Saccharomyces cerevisiae S288C: one gene and its partners. Changing the gene in region 1 together with any one later gene gives a genetic interaction. Each region holds a gene or a part of one and is shown in the gene's direction. Other genes may lie near its edges.

What was found.
Region 2: mutations in IWR1 (region 1) and MDV1 together harm fitness more than expected from each alone (negative genetic interaction), as found in Saccharomyces cerevisiae (2 studies listed by BioGRID).
Region 3: mutations in IWR1 (region 1) and RRD1 together harm fitness more than expected from each alone (negative genetic interaction), as found in Saccharomyces cerevisiae (2 studies listed by BioGRID).
Region 4: mutations in IWR1 (region 1) and SDD3 together harm fitness more than expected from each alone (negative genetic interaction), as found in Saccharomyces cerevisiae (2 studies listed by BioGRID).

What each region holds. Positions count from the first base shown.
Region 1 is NC_001136.10:253,447-256,970, reverse strand, and holds IWR1 (Iwr1p), read left to right. Parts: upstream 1-1,844; coding exon 1,845-1,926; intron 1,927-1,996; coding exon 1,997-2,976; downstream 2,977-3,524. Other genes in the region: ATG20 (Atg20p), read left to right, coding at 1-338; YDL114W (short-chain dehydrogenase/reductase), read right to left, coding at 441-1,367; NUP84 (Nup84p), read right to left, coding at 3,225-3,524. UniProt on the Saccharomyces cerevisiae protein: Directs RNA polymerase II nuclear import. Binds RNA polymerase II in the active center cleft between the two largest subunits in the cytoplasm.
Region 2 is NC_001142.9:203,625-207,971, forward strand, and holds MDV1 (Mdv1p), read left to right. Parts: upstream 1-1,680; coding exon 1,681-3,825; downstream 3,826-4,347. Other genes in the region: chaperonin-containing T-complex subunit CCT7, read left to right, coding at 4,253-4,347. UniProt on the Saccharomyces cerevisiae protein: Involved in mitochondrial fission. Has a partially redundant function to CAF4 in acting as an adapter protein, binding to FIS1 on the mitochondrial outer membrane and recruiting the dynamin-like GTPase DNM1 to form mitochondrial fission complexes.
Region 3 is NC_001141.2:53,262-56,942, forward strand, and holds RRD1 (peptidylprolyl isomerase RRD1), read left to right. Parts: upstream 1-1,936; coding exon 1,937-3,118; downstream 3,119-3,681. Other genes in the region: GUT2 (glycerol-3-phosphate dehydrogenase), read right to left, coding at 1-447; IMP21 (Imp21p), read right to left, coding at 720-1,760; VPR1 (Vpr1p), read left to right, coding at 3,284-3,681. UniProt on the Saccharomyces cerevisiae protein: PPIases accelerate the folding of proteins. It catalyzes the cis-trans isomerization of proline imidic peptide bonds in oligopeptides.
Region 4 is NC_001147.6:132,188-137,645, reverse strand, and holds SDD3 (Sdd3p), read left to right. Parts: upstream 1-1,807; coding exon 1,808-4,921; downstream 4,922-5,458. Other genes in the region: tryptophan--tRNA ligase WRS1, read left to right, coding at 1-1,119; YOL097W-A (uncharacterized protein), read right to left, coding at 1,241-1,426; serine/threonine protein kinase PKH2, read right to left, coding at 5,164-5,458.

The sequences.
Region 1 (3,524 bases):
GCGGTGGGAAATCATATGGTGGCAAACTATTCAATGGATTTAACAAATTGGCATCAATGGTAAAAGATTCTGTGAAGTATCAAGAAACAGATCCGCATACCGCAAGTATCAATTTGAAGAAAGAAATTGAACAACTGTCTGAATCATTGGAAGTTACTGAGAATGATTTGGAGGTCATTTCAAAAGTCATCAAAAATGACCAGCTACCTAAATTTTCTAAAGAAAGGGAAGTAGATTTATCAGAAATTTTAAAGCATTATTCCAGATATATGAGAAATTATGCCCGTCAAAATTTAGAAATTTGGAAAGAAGTCAAAAGACATCAAGATTTTGCATAGTATTATGAGCATTTTTTTTTAGCGTTATAGCATACTTGATATATATATATATAAACAACGTGAAGATCAAATAACGTCAAATGTATTAAATAGACTAAAATATTATGCACTTCTCTTCGGATTTATTGCTCGCGGGCTGGTTGACGTTACATGGTCCATTCCACTGAAATGTTTTAAGAGATGCCTATATGGCCAACTCAAAGTTTTGAAAAAGGGAACTAGGTTCACATAATATGGGGCATTTAGTGTTTGCAGATGATTATGCTCCATCGCAGAGATTATCGCTAGTGCCAGTTGGGAAGGTATGATGTCAGGAGCCAATAACTTAGATGGTGTAGGGACATCAATAAACATATTAGTTTTGATTTTTCCCGGGCACACCAGTAGTGTTTTTATTCCAGTTTTATTACATTCCGTGGACAAACTTCTGAAATGCCTGCTCATACACTTGTGAAAACCAATCATTGCTCCTTTTGATGCACCATACGATGTCAGCCTTGCAGGAGTCAGTTCTCCGAGGACTGAAGCAATGTTAATTATAAAGCCTTCCCTATTGTCTATCATATCTTCTGCAAATGTACTGATGATTCGGTAAGCACCTATTAAGTTTATGTCGATCAATTGTTCTACCTCCTTGTTTGTCATATGTTCTAACTTTTTGATGTGAGCAACACCAGCATTATTTATAATTATATTAATGTTGCCATGATCTCTTTCAATAGCTTTTTTCAAATTTTTAATTTCATCTAGACTTGTTATGTCGCATTGATAGTAGAAAATGTTATTATATTCTACCTGAGCAAAAGTAGGAAATGATTGAATATCTGCCACAATAACTTTATTAATTCTTCTGGAAAGTTCCTTTGCAAGTTCAAATCCGAGTCCACTAGAACCACCGGTTATTAGTGCAGTTGCATTTTTAGAAAGGATGGAAGGGTTGTAGCTGGGCAGACTTAGGATGACTGATGGAAAATCCTTGAGGTGTTTTGTAGTTCCACTCGCTCTATTTATTTTATTCTTGCGTACCATAATTAATAATATTTCTTACCCATAAAACTATGTTAAATATGTCACTGAATCTCTATTGAGGTGTCCTTTTGATGATGCGGTTTCAGATATGAGAAATGTTCATTCAAGAAGTGTCACAAATTCTGTTCCTCTGCTGACGCCCGCTACATATTGACGTTCAAAAATATAGAAGAAAAAGGCAGTAAAGCGTTAACATAAGAAAACTAAAGAGCAAGTCTGATTTGGCACTACCACGCTTCCAACAGAAGTAATTGTTGCTTCAAATAAGTTCGCAGCATGTGGATTCAAGTCCACAGATGCGATATTTAGGAGCCCAATCAGATAATATTGATTCCGGGTTATCTCTTGTTTGTGTCGGCACAGGGGATTTAAATTGTGTAATGCTCAAGACAAGTTATTGATGAGAACAAGAGATGGTATATAAAACTGCTCTCTGAGGTATAGCTTTTGTTGAGGTAGGCATACAAGATTTCGGGAATGAGCACTATTAGTACCACAACGGCACCTGAGTTTATCAGAGTAAAGAGAAGAAGGGATGAGGATTCTGTGCAGGCATTATGTATGTGTTGTTATTCTACCGATATAACAAAAATGCGTTTGACTAACTAAGTTCATCTGGGACAATTCAGTAATTGATGAGGGGAAAAGAGTGAAGAAGCAGAAGTTCATATTTAAATTATCAAAGACTGTGAGCTCTGAAAGCTATCAATCCGAGCAAGAGTCTTCTACGCCACTCTTAAAACTGGCTCATGAAGATCATCGACATTTTGTATTGGAACAAAGAAAAAAAAGTCGTAGAGACTCAGATGATGAAAAATCACAACAGCGGCTTGCAGCAGAAGGAAGTACTGTAGATGACGATGGGTTACCGCCAGAGATCAATCAAATGGTGAATGACTATTTAAAGTTGAATAAAGGTGTAGAAAAGACAGAAAGAAAAAAACCAAGTAGGAAATATTTTACTGGGGATTCTGCAAAAATTGCATCACTACCCAGTTTAGATTACGTTTTTGACATCTACCATTTGGAGAAAATTCATGACGATGAGGTTGCTAGATATAACAACGAGAAAAATATAGGGTTTGTGAAAATTATTGAGCATATAGATTTGGCTCTTGATGAAGAAAGTGATCCCAATGAAGCCCGTTCAGACGATGAGGATTCTAATGACGAAAACTATTACCAAAATGATTATCCGGAGGATGAAGATGATGATAGATCTATTCTATTTGGTAGCGAAGGAGAGGATATAGCTGCATTGGGTGAAGAGATTGTTATAGGGGTTAATAAGAGCAGGTTTTCCTCTTGGAATGACGATAAAATTCAGGGATCTAATGGGTACCACGATGTGGAGGAAGAGTACGGGGATCTTTTTAACAGGCTTGGAGGAAAAAGTGATGTCTTGAAATCCATAAATTCCTCGAATTTCATTGACTTGGATGGCCAAGAAGGTGAAATAGAGATAAGTGATAACGAAGATGATTCTGATGAAGGAGATGATATTGAATACCCTAGAAATGAATTTTTTCCGACGGATGTTGATGACCCATTGGCGCATCATAGGGACAGAATTTTTCATCAGCTACAGAAAAAAATTAATAGAAGCTAAATTTGCCGTCAGAAACTGTTCAATGTATGTAAGTAACTGCATCTGTAATTTTATCTTTAGATAGTAGAAAATTCATGTTTAACCGCTTTTTCACTTCATGAACTTTTTTTTCTCCGGTGTGGAAACACAAAGATTCAAAGCAAAACTATAAAAAATCACGTCAATTACTTCTGAAATAGATAGAAGAAATGCATAAAATTATTGCTGTTTACTTAAAATATAAACTTATTCTGCAATACATTAATTGATCAGTTCGAAAGGGTTGCTGTGCGAGCAACGAGATCCAGATACTCTTTTAACTTTCCACTAGATTGGAATAATAAATAAATCTTGTCGTTCTCATTAGCGACCAATGAGGTAAATGCCAGGGCTTCCGAAATAAATTTTGGGATCTTTAACAACTTTGCGGCTTCCACTAACTTTTTATGCAATTCCATCAGTAGAAATGGAGTATATAGGGCTCTAATCTCATACAGGATTTCATAATCTGCCGAATCCGCGAAATTAGAGGAAGTTAAATCTACTAAAAATGTCTTGATCAATTCAAA
Region 2 (4,347 bases), on another chromosome or scaffold:
ATAGTAACTACCGGAATCACTATTATATTGGTCATAATTAATATGACCAATCGGCGTGTGTTTTATATACCTCTCTTATTTAGTATAAGAAGATCAGTACTCACTTCTTCATTAATACTAATTTTTAACCTCTAATTATCAACATATCAATATATTATTGAAGATTGGGTGAATTTTGAGATAATTGTTGGGATTCCATTTTTAATAAGGCAATAATATTAGGTATGTAGATATACTAGAAGTTCTCCTCCAGGATTTAGGAATCCATAAAAGGAAATCTGCAATTCTACACAATTCTATAAATATTATTATCATCATTTTATATGTTAATATTCATTGATCCTATTACATTATCAATCCTTGCGTTTCAGCTTCCACTAATTTAGATGACTATTTCTCATCATTTGCGTCATCTTCTAACACCGTATATGATAATATACTAGTAACGTAAATACTAGTTAGTAGATGATAGTTGATTTTTATTCCAACAATTATCATATACGGTGTTAAGATGATGACATAAGTTATGAGAAGCTGTCATCGAAGTTAGAGGAAGCTGAAGTGCAAGGATTGATAATGTAATAGGATAATGAAACATATAAAACGGAATGAGGAATAATCGTAATATTAGTATGTAGAAATATAGATTCCATTTTGAGGATTCCTATATCCTCGAGGAGAACTTCTAGTATATTCTGTATACCTAATATTATACCCTCTATCAACAACAGGATTCCAACAATTATTTCAAAATCCACCCATATCTCAGATTTCACATCAGTATTGATTAAAATATTAATTGCTACCAGTTCTAATAAATCTAATGTTTACATCATATAGTAATATATCTTTTGAGAAATGTGACTGGCGTTATACAGAAACCGAATTACACGTTTTAAATACTAATTATTAAAATTTATCCTGATAAGTTGATCTTTATTTCCGTACAGCACAACCGATAGAGGAGATGTTTAAAGTGTTTAAGCTCACTTTATAGGGTGAAACACATTTTGACGACCGTAAAAGGTCATTTGATTTGGTATTGAGGTCGAGAAAATATTTTCAAATAGTGAAGGATACATTAAACACGCTCACAAAACAACATAAAAATCCGTGATAGTTTAATGGTCAGAATGGGCGCTTGTCGCGTGCCAGATCGGGGTTCAATTCCCCGTCGCGGAGATTTTTTTTGGCCCTTGATGACTGTTCTGGTACAATTTCCACCTTGAATGAGGGTATAAGATACCGATGATATATATTCAGACTATTTCTACGACACAGAAAAACAATCGACCAAGCCGTCCTTGAACATGCTGCAGAACTTCCTTTTTTTTATTTTTTTTGGCTCATCTACGTAATCCTATTATCTTTTATTAAATTTTGAAGCTATGAGTTTCTTTCCAGCGACTTGGAACCAATAGTTGACAGTGAGTGCATACTTGAGTATTTTCCCCCTACATTGTACAGTCCTCCTCAGACCTGGTATCCCTGTTTAATGTGGTCGCTCATCGGACTTTTCCGTCCGATAGGAATTCGCTCAACTTTGACAGGCGGAACTACTTTCACATCGATTTTCTCAGGAAAGACGGCGTAAACAAGAGAAGAAATTAACTTTCTACAGAAAGTACAACCATATAAACCCTTCGTAGAGCTCCAATTAGTAGCAAATAATGACAAATAATGTCAGTGAACGACCAAATAACTCATATAGGAAAAACATTGTCCACAACGGCTTCCGCTTTTTTAAACTACCAAAAATCGAACAGCAACACTCAAGATGTACTGACCAATAATGGGCCTTATAAGAATTTATTATCAAATACCGTCAACAATGCGAGCTCAACTTCATACTTTTACAAGAGGACTGAACACGGTCGCTTTGTAAAAAATGCATCTAACACTTTTGAGGATATTTACTCCAAGACAAGAAGGGGCGATGTATTCAGGAACAAGTTCACAGACAACAAAACATGCTTCAGAATGCTCACGTACATAAGTGATGATTTGTTGAACGAGATCCCAACTAAGGAAGGTCTCAAAAGTGATGCAGATGGCAAGCTTCTAACCGAAGGAGGCGAAAATGAAAATCTCAGGAAGAACGCATCCAAAAAAGAAACATCGCTGTTTCAGGGCTTTAAAAGCTACCTACCAATAGCGGAGCTTGCCATTGAAAACACTGAAAGATTAAACTATGATACAAATGGTACAAGCGGTACGGTTGGTGCGAAAGATGTTATGTCTAAAACAAATGAGCGAGATGAAATTCACACAGAGCTTCCTAACTTCCAAGATTCATTTCTCATACCGCCTGGGGTAGAAACTAAAAAAATAAGCTCCTCTTATTCTCCTAGTGCATTAAAAAGTTTTTCTCAAACTCTTGTAAATAGTTTAGAGTTTTTAAATATTCAGAAAAATTCTACGTTATCCGAAATAAGAGACATTGAAGTTGAAGTTGAGAATCTGAGACAAAAGAAAGAGAAACTGTTGGGTAAAATTGCGAACATAGAGCAAAATCAATTACTATTGGAAGACAACCTCAAACAGATTGATGATAGGTTGGACTTTTTAGAAGAGTACGGATTGGAGGTGATCGAAGCTAATAGCGACGAAAATGCAGAAGATGATGGTATGAGTGAGCGAAAGGCCCTTAAAAATGATGCTATAAGAAATGAGGGTGTCACCACAGAGAGCATATCATCAGAGGCTTCTAATCTACCTCCAAGGAGAAGGCAACAACTTCGAGACGATAACTCATTGAATAGATTAGGTGCCTTTTATAGCAAATCCAAAAAAAGACACAGAAAAAGCTTCCCAACATTCCAGCAGCTTTACGAGCCAGGAACAAAAATTGGCTCTATAATGTCCACTCACGATGATTTCCTCACTTGCCTAGATTTTGATGCGCCCTTTGGTACCTTATGTACAGCCGGATATCTTGATCACACGGTAAAAATTTGGGATTTATCCAAACAAAACAAAATTGGAGAACTAGCAGGACATCTTGCTACAATTAATTGTATGCAAATCAATCGTGACTACGGAACTCTTGTTACTGGTGGTAGAGATGCGGCTTTAAAATTATGGAATTTGAATTTAGCTCAACAACTTTACCAGGAAACGCAAAATCTTACCTCTCCTACAAATCATATTGATTCTCCATGTGTTCATACATTTGAGGCGCATACAGATGAGGTTACTGCATTATCATTAGATCCTAGTTTCTTGGTGAGTGGTTCACAGGATAGAACAATTAGGCAATGGGACTTACGTTCCGGGAAGTGCTTGCAAACCATTGATCTGAGCTTTGCAAATGTCTTAACAACATCCACTAATGTCGATTTATCAAAGAGCACACTTCTTACTCAAAGAAATGAGAGGCCTAGTATAGGTGCACTACAAAGTTTTGATGCAGCGCTAGCAACGGGTACAAAAGATGGTGTTGTAAGGCTATGGGATTTAAGATCCGGAAAGGTGATTCGTACTTTGAAAGGGCATACAGATGCCATAACGTCATTAAAATTTGATTCCGCGTGCCTGGTCACAGGTTCATACGACAGAACAGTTAGAATCTGGGACTTAAGAACTGGGTTGTTGAATAAGTTTCATGCGTACAGTGCGCCAGTTCTTTCGTTAGATCTCTTCCAAGAGAACGCTGCAGTCGTTGTCGCAGACGAACCAAGTGTCCAGATATACGATAGCGAAAAGGATGAAAGCTGGTCTTGCGTCGAACAAGGTAACGAGACTAGCGTTAGTACCGTTAAGTATAAAGAAAATTACATGGTTGAGGGTCGTGAAAATGGGGACGTAAATATTTGGGCCGTATGATAGGCATTGCATTGCAATCAAGTCAACCCATTTGAAGAAAAATAAATATCGAGTGCATATGTGAATAGCTGCTCGCTCAGATATATATAAATAAATATTCGTTCTGGAATGTAAATAAAGTATCGTCAATACCTTGGATGGTTTATCAGCGAAATCGGTGCTGTAGATGTTGCCCTGTCATATTACTACAGATGTCTTGGAAGCAATCACCATACCTGCATTATCCTTACCCGGAAAAAGAAAACTTTCGTGAATAATGATTAATATTTAAGTGGCGACTTTTTCATCCTTGCTATTGAAAAAAAAAAAAATGAATAATTGTTATTAAGCGTTAGCAGATGCCAAATTGTCGAAATGATTTCAAATACAGAGAATTAGCCGCAAATATTAAGTAGTACCTGAATCACGAGACATACAACTCGGAAAAATGAACTTTGGAAGCCAAACACCTACAATTGTGGTTCTAAAAGAGGGAACAGACGCATCTCAAGGTAAAGGTCAAATCATCTCTAATATCAATGC
Region 3 (3,681 bases), on another chromosome or scaffold:
GGCAGTGTTGATAAGATGTTTACGCTCGTTGAGTGCCTCGATGACCAGATCCAGTTGTGCCTTGGAGAACTCCCAGAAGGCCTTCTCTAAGTACCGCACCCCACCGTGAATCATCTTGGTAGATTTGGACGACGTTCCCGAGGCAAAATCCCCCTTTTCAACAAGGGCCACATTGAGTCCCCTGGTCGCAGCATCTAGGGCACATCCTGTCCCCGTGGCCCCGCCACCGATGATCAACACGTCGAATTGATGCGTCTTGGCCAGACGGTCCAGCAGGTCTCGTCTAGAGACCTGCGGTGGAGCGGCGGTGGGGAATTGCACCATGTAGCTCGGGTCATTGTGCACTAACGGCCTATCACCTTGGCTAGTCATCCAGTACAGCGTCCCCGTGGCTGTGGCCATGGCAGCAGCTGCACCGGCAGCTCTTCTTCTCGTTACCGAAAACATATATTAGTACGTATTTAGTCTTGTAGCAGTGATGGCAATAGCACGGTCAAGATAAGGGAGGGAGAGTCCTTGCTTTAGACCAAAGTTCCCTATTTGTGGCTGTTCTCTTTTAAGTTTAAATACGATTTTTAGCGTGCGGGGTTGTGAAATTTCCCCTGCCAAAACTGAAATAAAGTTGGGTGGATAACGTATCGGAGCAGAGAAAAGACATAAGGTCTGTTGCTGTATATAAGTATGTGTTGCTAAAAAGGAATTAGTGCAGTGATTATTGGTCACTCGCTGATGCCCTTGCGCTTGGCACGTTTCAGCTTCTTTCTAACCGCGAGGATGGGCACAGAGCAGACGAAGTTCTGCAGAGTGGACAGGATGACCGAGAGGGAGCAGCACAGGGCGACTGGCTTGAGGCCGTGGATCATCTCGTTGAGGAGGTGTTTTGGGTACGGATGGGTCAAGGAGAGGACGACGACGTCGAGGTCGTCGAGCACGCCCGCGACGCAGTCAAACAGGTGCATGACGTGCTTTCTGATTCTGGCAACGTTGGCGAACATCTGGGAGTCGTCCGTGGGCTTCGAGGGCTCCCAGTGGACAATGTAGACGGTGTCTCCCTGGTTGACAGCTGCGCCCATGAGATAGGTCAGGGCGTAGGTGGACTCGCTGCTCAGGTCCGTGTAGAGGATGAAGGACCTTTGGTTCCCGGCCTCTGCGCCGGCACCCTTGGTGAGTAGTTGCATGGCTCTGACGTAGCCTCCGTCGAGTTGCTCCAGAGACACGTCTTCGTTTTCGTGGCCACGGATGCTGATCTCGTACTTGGCTATCCAGGGCTTGCTGGAGTCTAGCACTTCGTTTATGCTGGTACAAAAGTTGGGTAACACTTTCATGCCCAGATCGTAGTGGAACTCCTCGTCAATCTCTAAATCGTTCTCTATATCGCTCACTTGCTCTTCATCGGACTCTTCCTCGTCCATATCGTCGCCGTCGCCGTCGTCGTCATCTTCGTCGTTGCCCTCACCTTCCTCTTCAGAATCCACATCCACGACCCTCAACCGCATCGAGGGGTCCTGCCTCAACACGGTCCACTTGAGGAACTCTTCCTCCCTTACTCTGCTGCGGCTACTGGCCCTGCTTCTCGACCGCGACAGACTGCTCACGTTTGAGTCTCGTTCGCCTCTTTTCTTCTTGCTACGACCTCTTTCCCTGTGGCCCCTTTCCATCTGCTCCGAGTCGAACTCCACCGTGGTGGGCGTTTCCGTTTTGATGCTGTGTAGATTCGATTGTGTTCCGTCAGGTTTAGTCAGCAATATGCTCTTCTGCATTGCGTACTTGGTTGTTTCTCTTGTTGGTTCTTTTGGTACTCACCCTTTCCATAGTCTCTTGTGTTTGATCAAGCCTTTTTTCCGGACCTTTAAAGCTTTCTTAAAAAGATAAAATAGGAAGAAAGTGCAAAGTGCAAAAGAACGCACATATGAACAAGCATTAAACGAGCAAAGAAATGTCTCTGGATCGTGTAGATTGGCCGCACGCCACCTTCTCTACGCCGGTGAAGCGTATCTTCGATACGCAGACAACGCTGGACTTCCAATCGTCACTAGCCATTCACAGAATCAAGTATCATCTTCACAAGTACACTACGTTGATATCGCACTGTTCTGACCCCGACCCGCACGCTACTGCGTCGTCGATCGCCATGGTTAACGGGCTGATGGGAGTGTTGGACAAGCTGGCACACCTGATCGACGAGACACCGCCTCTTCCAGGTCCTAGAAGGTATGGTAACCTAGCATGCCGCGAGTGGCATCACAAGCTGGATGAACGTTTGCCTCAGTGGCTGCAGGAAATGCTTCCCTCGGAATACCATGAGGTGGTGCCTGAATTGCAGTATTACCTGGGCAACAGCTTTGGTTCGTCGACAAGATTGGACTACGGCACGGGCCACGAACTTTCGTTCATGGCCACGGTCGCAGCACTGGACATGCTGGGGATGTTTCCGCACATGAGGGGGGCAGACGTTTTTCTGCTGTTCAACAAGTACTACACGATCATGAGGAGGCTGATCCTGACGTATACGCTGGAGCCCGCTGGGTCACATGGCGTGTGGGGGCTTGATGACCATTTCCACTTGGTGTACATCTTGGGCTCGTCTCAATGGCAGCTGCTTGATGCGCAAGCACCCTTGCAACCAAGAGAAATACTGGATAAGTCTCTGGTGCGCGAGTATAAGGACACCAACTTCTACTGCCAAGGCATAAACTTTATTAATGAGGTGAAAATGGGGCCCTTTGAAGAGCATTCCCCCATCCTATACGATATTGCCGTCACCGTTCCACGCTGGTCCAAAGTGTGTAAGGGGCTTCTAAAAATGTATTCTGTAGAGGTTCTGAAGAAGTTCCCCGTGGTGCAACATTTCTGGTTCGGCACAGGCTTCTTTCCCTGGGTCAACATTCAAAACGGCACTGATCTTCCAGTCTTTGAAGAAAAGGAGGAAGAGAGTATAGAACAGGCTAACGCAGGATCGCCCGGTCGAGAACAGACTTCAACACGATTCCCAACGTCCACGTCAATGCCTCCCCCAGGCGTTCCGCCGTCAGGTAACAATATCAACTATTTACTAAGCCATCAAAACCAGTCGCACCGGAACCAGACTTCTTTTTCAAGAGATAGACTACGTAGATAATATTAATTAAACATATAAATGTGTATGACAAGCATTATGACTTCTATTTTCGTTCTTTTTTACTTGCGTCTACAATATATAAGCATATAATCAGATGAAAAAAGGAAAAGGAAGCGGTAATACAAATAAACAAAGAAGTGGAAAAAGTCGCCACAGTGTAAGCAAATGAGTCACAAGAGAAGGGGCCTGGTAATATATCAGGATCAGAAGCAGCAACAACAACACCCCCCGGGGCAGTCCCTAAGCTCTATATCCTGGTCTCCAACCAGGCGACCTCATCACCCTTTAAAACAACAAAGCACCAACAGTTTCTCAGAAATACTATCGAAATCAAGTGTGCAACCGAACGTGCAACATGACGGTAATCATATGCCCATTTCATTGCTAGTTCTGAAACAAGAACATCATAAGCAGCAGCAGCAGCAGCAGCAGCGCCAGAATATCCGATCACAAAACTCTACGCCTCCCCTGCGACAGTTGGTTCAGGAGTCGCAGTGGACGAGCTCCGCAAGTAATAGTTCTCTAAAGAAACAGGAAAAGCAGCCGCAAACATTCTACAACAC
Region 4 (5,458 bases), on another chromosome or scaffold:
GAAGAAACCCTGAAGAGATTCAAGCAAGTGACGGGTCGTGAACCACATCATTTTTTGCGTAAGGGATTGTTTTTCAGTGAGCGTGACTTCACTAAAATATTAGACCTTTACGAACAAGGCAAACCATTTTTCCTATACACTGGTAGAGGTCCTTCGAGCGATTCTATGCACTTGGGTCATATGATCCCTTTTGTCTTCACCAAATGGTTACAGGAAGTGTTTGACGTACCATTAGTCATAGAGTTGACAGATGACGAAAAATTTTTATTCAAACACAAGTTGACCATCAATGACGTTAAGAATTTTGCCCGTGAAAATGCCAAGGATATCATTGCTGTTGGCTTTGATCCAAAGAACACCTTTATCTTTTCTGATTTGCAATACATGGGTGGTGCATTTTACGAAACTGTAGTAAGAGTTTCCAGACAAATTACAGGATCCACTGCAAAGGCTGTTTTCGGGTTTAATGACTCCGACTGTATTGGTAAGTTCCATTTTGCCTCCATTCAAATTGCTACCGCATTCCCAAGCTCATTTCCTAATGTGTTAGGCTTGCCTGATAAGACACCATGTTTGATTCCATGTGCAATTGACCAAGATCCATATTTCAGAGTTTGTAGGGATGTCGCGGATAAATTGAAGTACTCCAAACCTGCTTTGCTTCATTCCAGATTCTTTCCAGCTTTGCAAGGTTCCACGACCAAAATGTCAGCCTCTGATGATACCACTGCCATTTTCATGACCGATACACCAAAGCAAATTCAAAAGAAAATTAACAAGTACGCATTCAGCGGTGGTCAAGTGTCCGCCGACCTACATAGAGAATTAGGTGGTAATCCCGATGTCGATGTTGCATACCAATACTTGTCATTTTTCAAGGATGACGATGTTTTCTTGAAGGAATGCTATGACAAATATAAGTCCGGTGAATTACTATCAGGTGAAATGAAGAAACTGTGTATCGAGACTCTGCAAGAATTCGTTAAGGCGTTCCAGGAACGCAGAGCTCAGGTGGACGAAGAGACCTTGGACAAATTCATGGTCCCACATAAGTTGGTTTGGGGCGAAAAGGAAAGACTTGTCGCACCTAAGCCAAAAACTAAGCAAGAAAAGAAGTAAGTAGTCACGCTTATTCTGACGCTATTATATACAATGATATAGAATCCGAAATTGTAGTTTAACACTAAAAAAATAATGCAATAGAACAATAGTGTTGCGATGTCTCCTGACCTCACTATTTCTATAGATTGGTATGAAAAATTTTTTTTTCAAATATATGGGAAAAATTTTTCACGGCATATAAAAGACTACCATCTTTCTGCATCAGTGTGCCAGACCCATTCTCACACCAAGAAGCGAGGAAGCTAACAGGCCAGTACTTGCAGGTTAGGTTTTCGTGCTCAGATGAGCAGATCATGGACTGCATTGTGCTGTTGTTGCACAGTAAATTTTGTATACCATACTTTATGATGATATTCTTTACGAACTTTTAGACGTTAGACTTCTGAAGGAGATTAGACCCTCCTATGGAAGAGAAACTCGTTAAACTTATCTGAGTAGGTATGTGTATATGCGTCTCTTGTATTATACAAATGTTCTTATTTCTTGTCCTGCATTTTTCCGAGTATTGGTAAATTCATGTAAATTTTTCATCCCATAGATCGTAATTTTGAAGTAGTGGCAAAAGATTTTAACAGAGCGTAAGATATAGTGAGAGAAACTACTCGCTGAAAAGTTGAAAGTGACCCAAAAAACGGCACGAAGACCAATTATACGCACTTTCAACACAGTTCGTCGAATCTTCACAATGGGGTTCAAGAAGCTCGTATCATTCCAACCGGATTATGTCCCACAATACCATATAACTAAATATATCTCGGAACGAACTAAACTGCAACTGGTACATATAAACCACAAAACCTCCCCATTGGTTCACGGTTACTTTGCTGTTCCTACAGAATGTCTTAATGATTCAGGTGCTCCGCATACCTTGGAGCATTTGATCTTCATGGGTTCTAAATCTTACCCATACAAAGGTTTATTAGACACAGCTGGTAATCTGTCTTTGTCTAACACCAATGCTTGGACTGATACCGACCAAACTGTTTATACATTAAGCAGTGCTGGCTGGAAGGGATTCTCAAAGTTGCTACCTGCTTATCTAGATCACATCCTACATCCAACTTTAACAGACGAGGCTTGTTTAACTGAGGTTTATCACATCGACCCGGAAAATTTGGGTGATAAAGGTGTGGTATTTAGTGAAATGGAAGCCATTGAAACTCAGGGCTGGTACATTTCAGGGTTAGAAAAGCAGCGATTAATGTTTCCTGAAGGAAGTGGCTATCGGTCAGAAACTGGTGGGCTAACGAAAAATTTAAGAACCTTAACCAACGACGAAATCAGACAATTTCACAAATCTCTGTATTCTTCTGATAATCTTTGTGTCATTGTTTGTGGTAACGTACCAACAGATGAACTGTTAACCGTCATGGAAGAATGGGATAACAAATTGCCGGAGATTCCATCGAATATACCAAAGAAAAGACCATTTTTGGACAACAAGCTTTCGCACATACCGCAATCTAGAGATAAAGTTACGGAATCTACTGTAGAATTTCCTGAACTTGATGAAAGTCAGGGTGAATTACTCTTTTCTTGGATTGGTGTTCCCTACTCAGATTTTCGTAATGACCTAGCGGTTGATGTGCTATTAGATTACTTTACTGACTCTGCATTGGCAGTGTTTACAAGAGAACTGGTTGAAATTGACGATCCCATGGCAAATTCCACTGATTGTTGCACTGATTATTTCATGAGAACCATAATTGATCTTCGTATCCAAGGTGTCCCAACAGAAAAAATAGCAGCAACAAAGACCAAGGTACTGGAGATTTTGAAAACCCATACCATTGATTTATCAAGAGTTAGACAGGTAGTTGAAAATACTAAATGGGAATATTTGCTGAACTATGAAAAAAATGGCGAGAGTCGTTTTTCTAGTGCTGTGATTACCGACTATATTTATGGTAATGAAGATGGTTCTTCATTAGTGTCTTCTCTCAAGGATTTAAGTGATTTTGATGCTTTATTACAATGGTCCCAAAAGGACTGGCAATCTTTGCTGAACAGAATATTCGTAGACAACAAACCTATCATAGTTACCGCTAAACCAAGCGCTTTGATGTATGAACAACTAGAGAAAGAAAAATCGGATTTGATCAAACAAAGAGAAGCTGAATTTGATGATGAAAAGAAACTGGTTTTATTGAAAAGATTGAACAATGCAAAAAATATTAATGATAGGCCAATTCCGAAATCTCTACTACAGAAATTTGAGATTGATAATCCTTCAAAGAGTGTTGAATTTGTCAACACGAAAAGCATTGCAACTGTCGATTCGTATAAATACAATAATGTTAGTGATCCGCTGACCAAAAAAATTTTAGAAACGAGGCCAGACAATTTTCCTCTTTTCATTCACTTAAATCATTTCCCGTCTCAATTTATAGAGCTGCATTTTTTGGTCAACTCCGCATCTATTAAGGATACCTCGCTTTTACCATATTTTAATATGTTTGACGAGCTATTTTCCATGCCAATGAAAATCCTTGATGAGGAGAGTAATGTAGAAACTATGCTCTCGTTTGAGGAAGTTGTCGCCAAGTTAAAATCAGAAACTATTGACGCACAGATCAACCAAGGTTTGAAGGGTTCTTGTCCTGACCTTATTAATTTTAAAATTCAATGTAGAGCTGGGGGTTACTCTAACTCTGTTCAATGGATCAAGCACTGCCTATTTGACATGGTTTTTGATGAAAATCGTGTTCGTATTCTGCTGGAGAATTATTTGAATTCTATTGTAGAATGGAAAAGAAATGGTAATGTTATGTTAAGTTCTTTAACTAACAGAAATCTCTATTCGGCAAGATCGCTGAAAAAATCCACCGATCCATTATTTGTTGAAGCAAAATTACAAGAGATTTTTGCAGAAATTGAGAATGGCAACTTTGAGAAAGAAATTTTGCCAAGAATAGAAACAATGAGAAAGCAACTGAGAGCAAATTTCAACAAGTTTCATATTTTGGTTCTTGGTGACATCTCAAAGATCGATGACGTTTATGAACCATGGAATCCCTTAATTAAGTGCTTGAACATTGCACATCCAGTTGAGAAGTTAAAAATTCCACCAGTTCCAAGAGCCCTAGATACCATTTCATCGATTTGCAGAACACCTGGTGAAAAGGCCTTTATAATAACTACTCCCGCCTCAGAATCTGCTTATATGAATCTAATAACGTCTATCCCATTTAACTTGGACTACCATGATCCCGAATACGCTATTGTCTCATTGGCTTCCGAATATCTAGAATGTGTTGAAGGTCCATTTTGGAAGGGAATCCGTGGTGCCGGATTGGCCTATGGTGCCAGCATGTTAAAATTATGTGAGATAAATTCTTGGGGATTCAATATTTACCGCGGCGCTGATATTATTAAATGTTATGAAGTTGGAAAACAGATTGTTCAAGATTATGCATCAGGTGCCTTGGAATTTGATGAGCAGTTAATCCAAGGTGCCATCAGTAGTATTATTAACAGGCTGGCTACTATCGAATGCGGATACTTTGAAACAGCCCTGTCCAAATATGTTGATGAATTCTGTTTGCAAAGGGGGAACAACTTCAATGAATTGTATTTGGAAAGGTTGCAGAATGTTACCAAAACAGATCTGAAAAATGCCATGCAGAAATATTTTGTCAACATGTTTGATTCCAATAAAAGCGTTGCCTTTGTGAGCTGTCATCCAGCTAAATTGGAATCAGTTCAAGAATTCTTTGAAACTCAAGGTTTCACTGTCGAAATAGAAGAGCTAGAAGATGACGATGACGAAATTGATAGTGAAGAAGACGAAAATGCGTGAGTACATGACCTCCATTTCAGCTTCACTTTCAACACAGAAACAGTGCGTATTATCTGCATTCAATAAATAGCAAAAGGAGCATTGTCTCATTCTTTTCGAATTCTGGGATTCTGCCTTACGGCGCTCTTTCATTTGATTGATCGAGAATTATTATTATATTTATATGAGTACTTGAAATTCCTCATATATTTATTTTTAGAGTATTTAAGTAGCTTGATGAAAACATTAGATAAAATTACTAATTACGACCTCTTCGATTTTGCAGATGAGTTTTTGAAATTTGTTCCTGTGTTTAGACCTAATCCCACGGTAACTTGTCTTTTTGGCAATCCGTTAACTAATTTACTGGTTAACGGTACTGGAGCAGCGTGTTTTTTTGAATTTTGTTCCTTGGCATTGATAAAGGTTTCAAAAATTCTGCTTGATCTGTTGCTCTTAGCGCTATTAATCGATTCAGAAAACGAATTGTGCTTTGAAATTGATGGAGATTGGCTATGCGTCCTGGGTTTTGGCGAAGGAGACTTGGAAGTTGGAAGA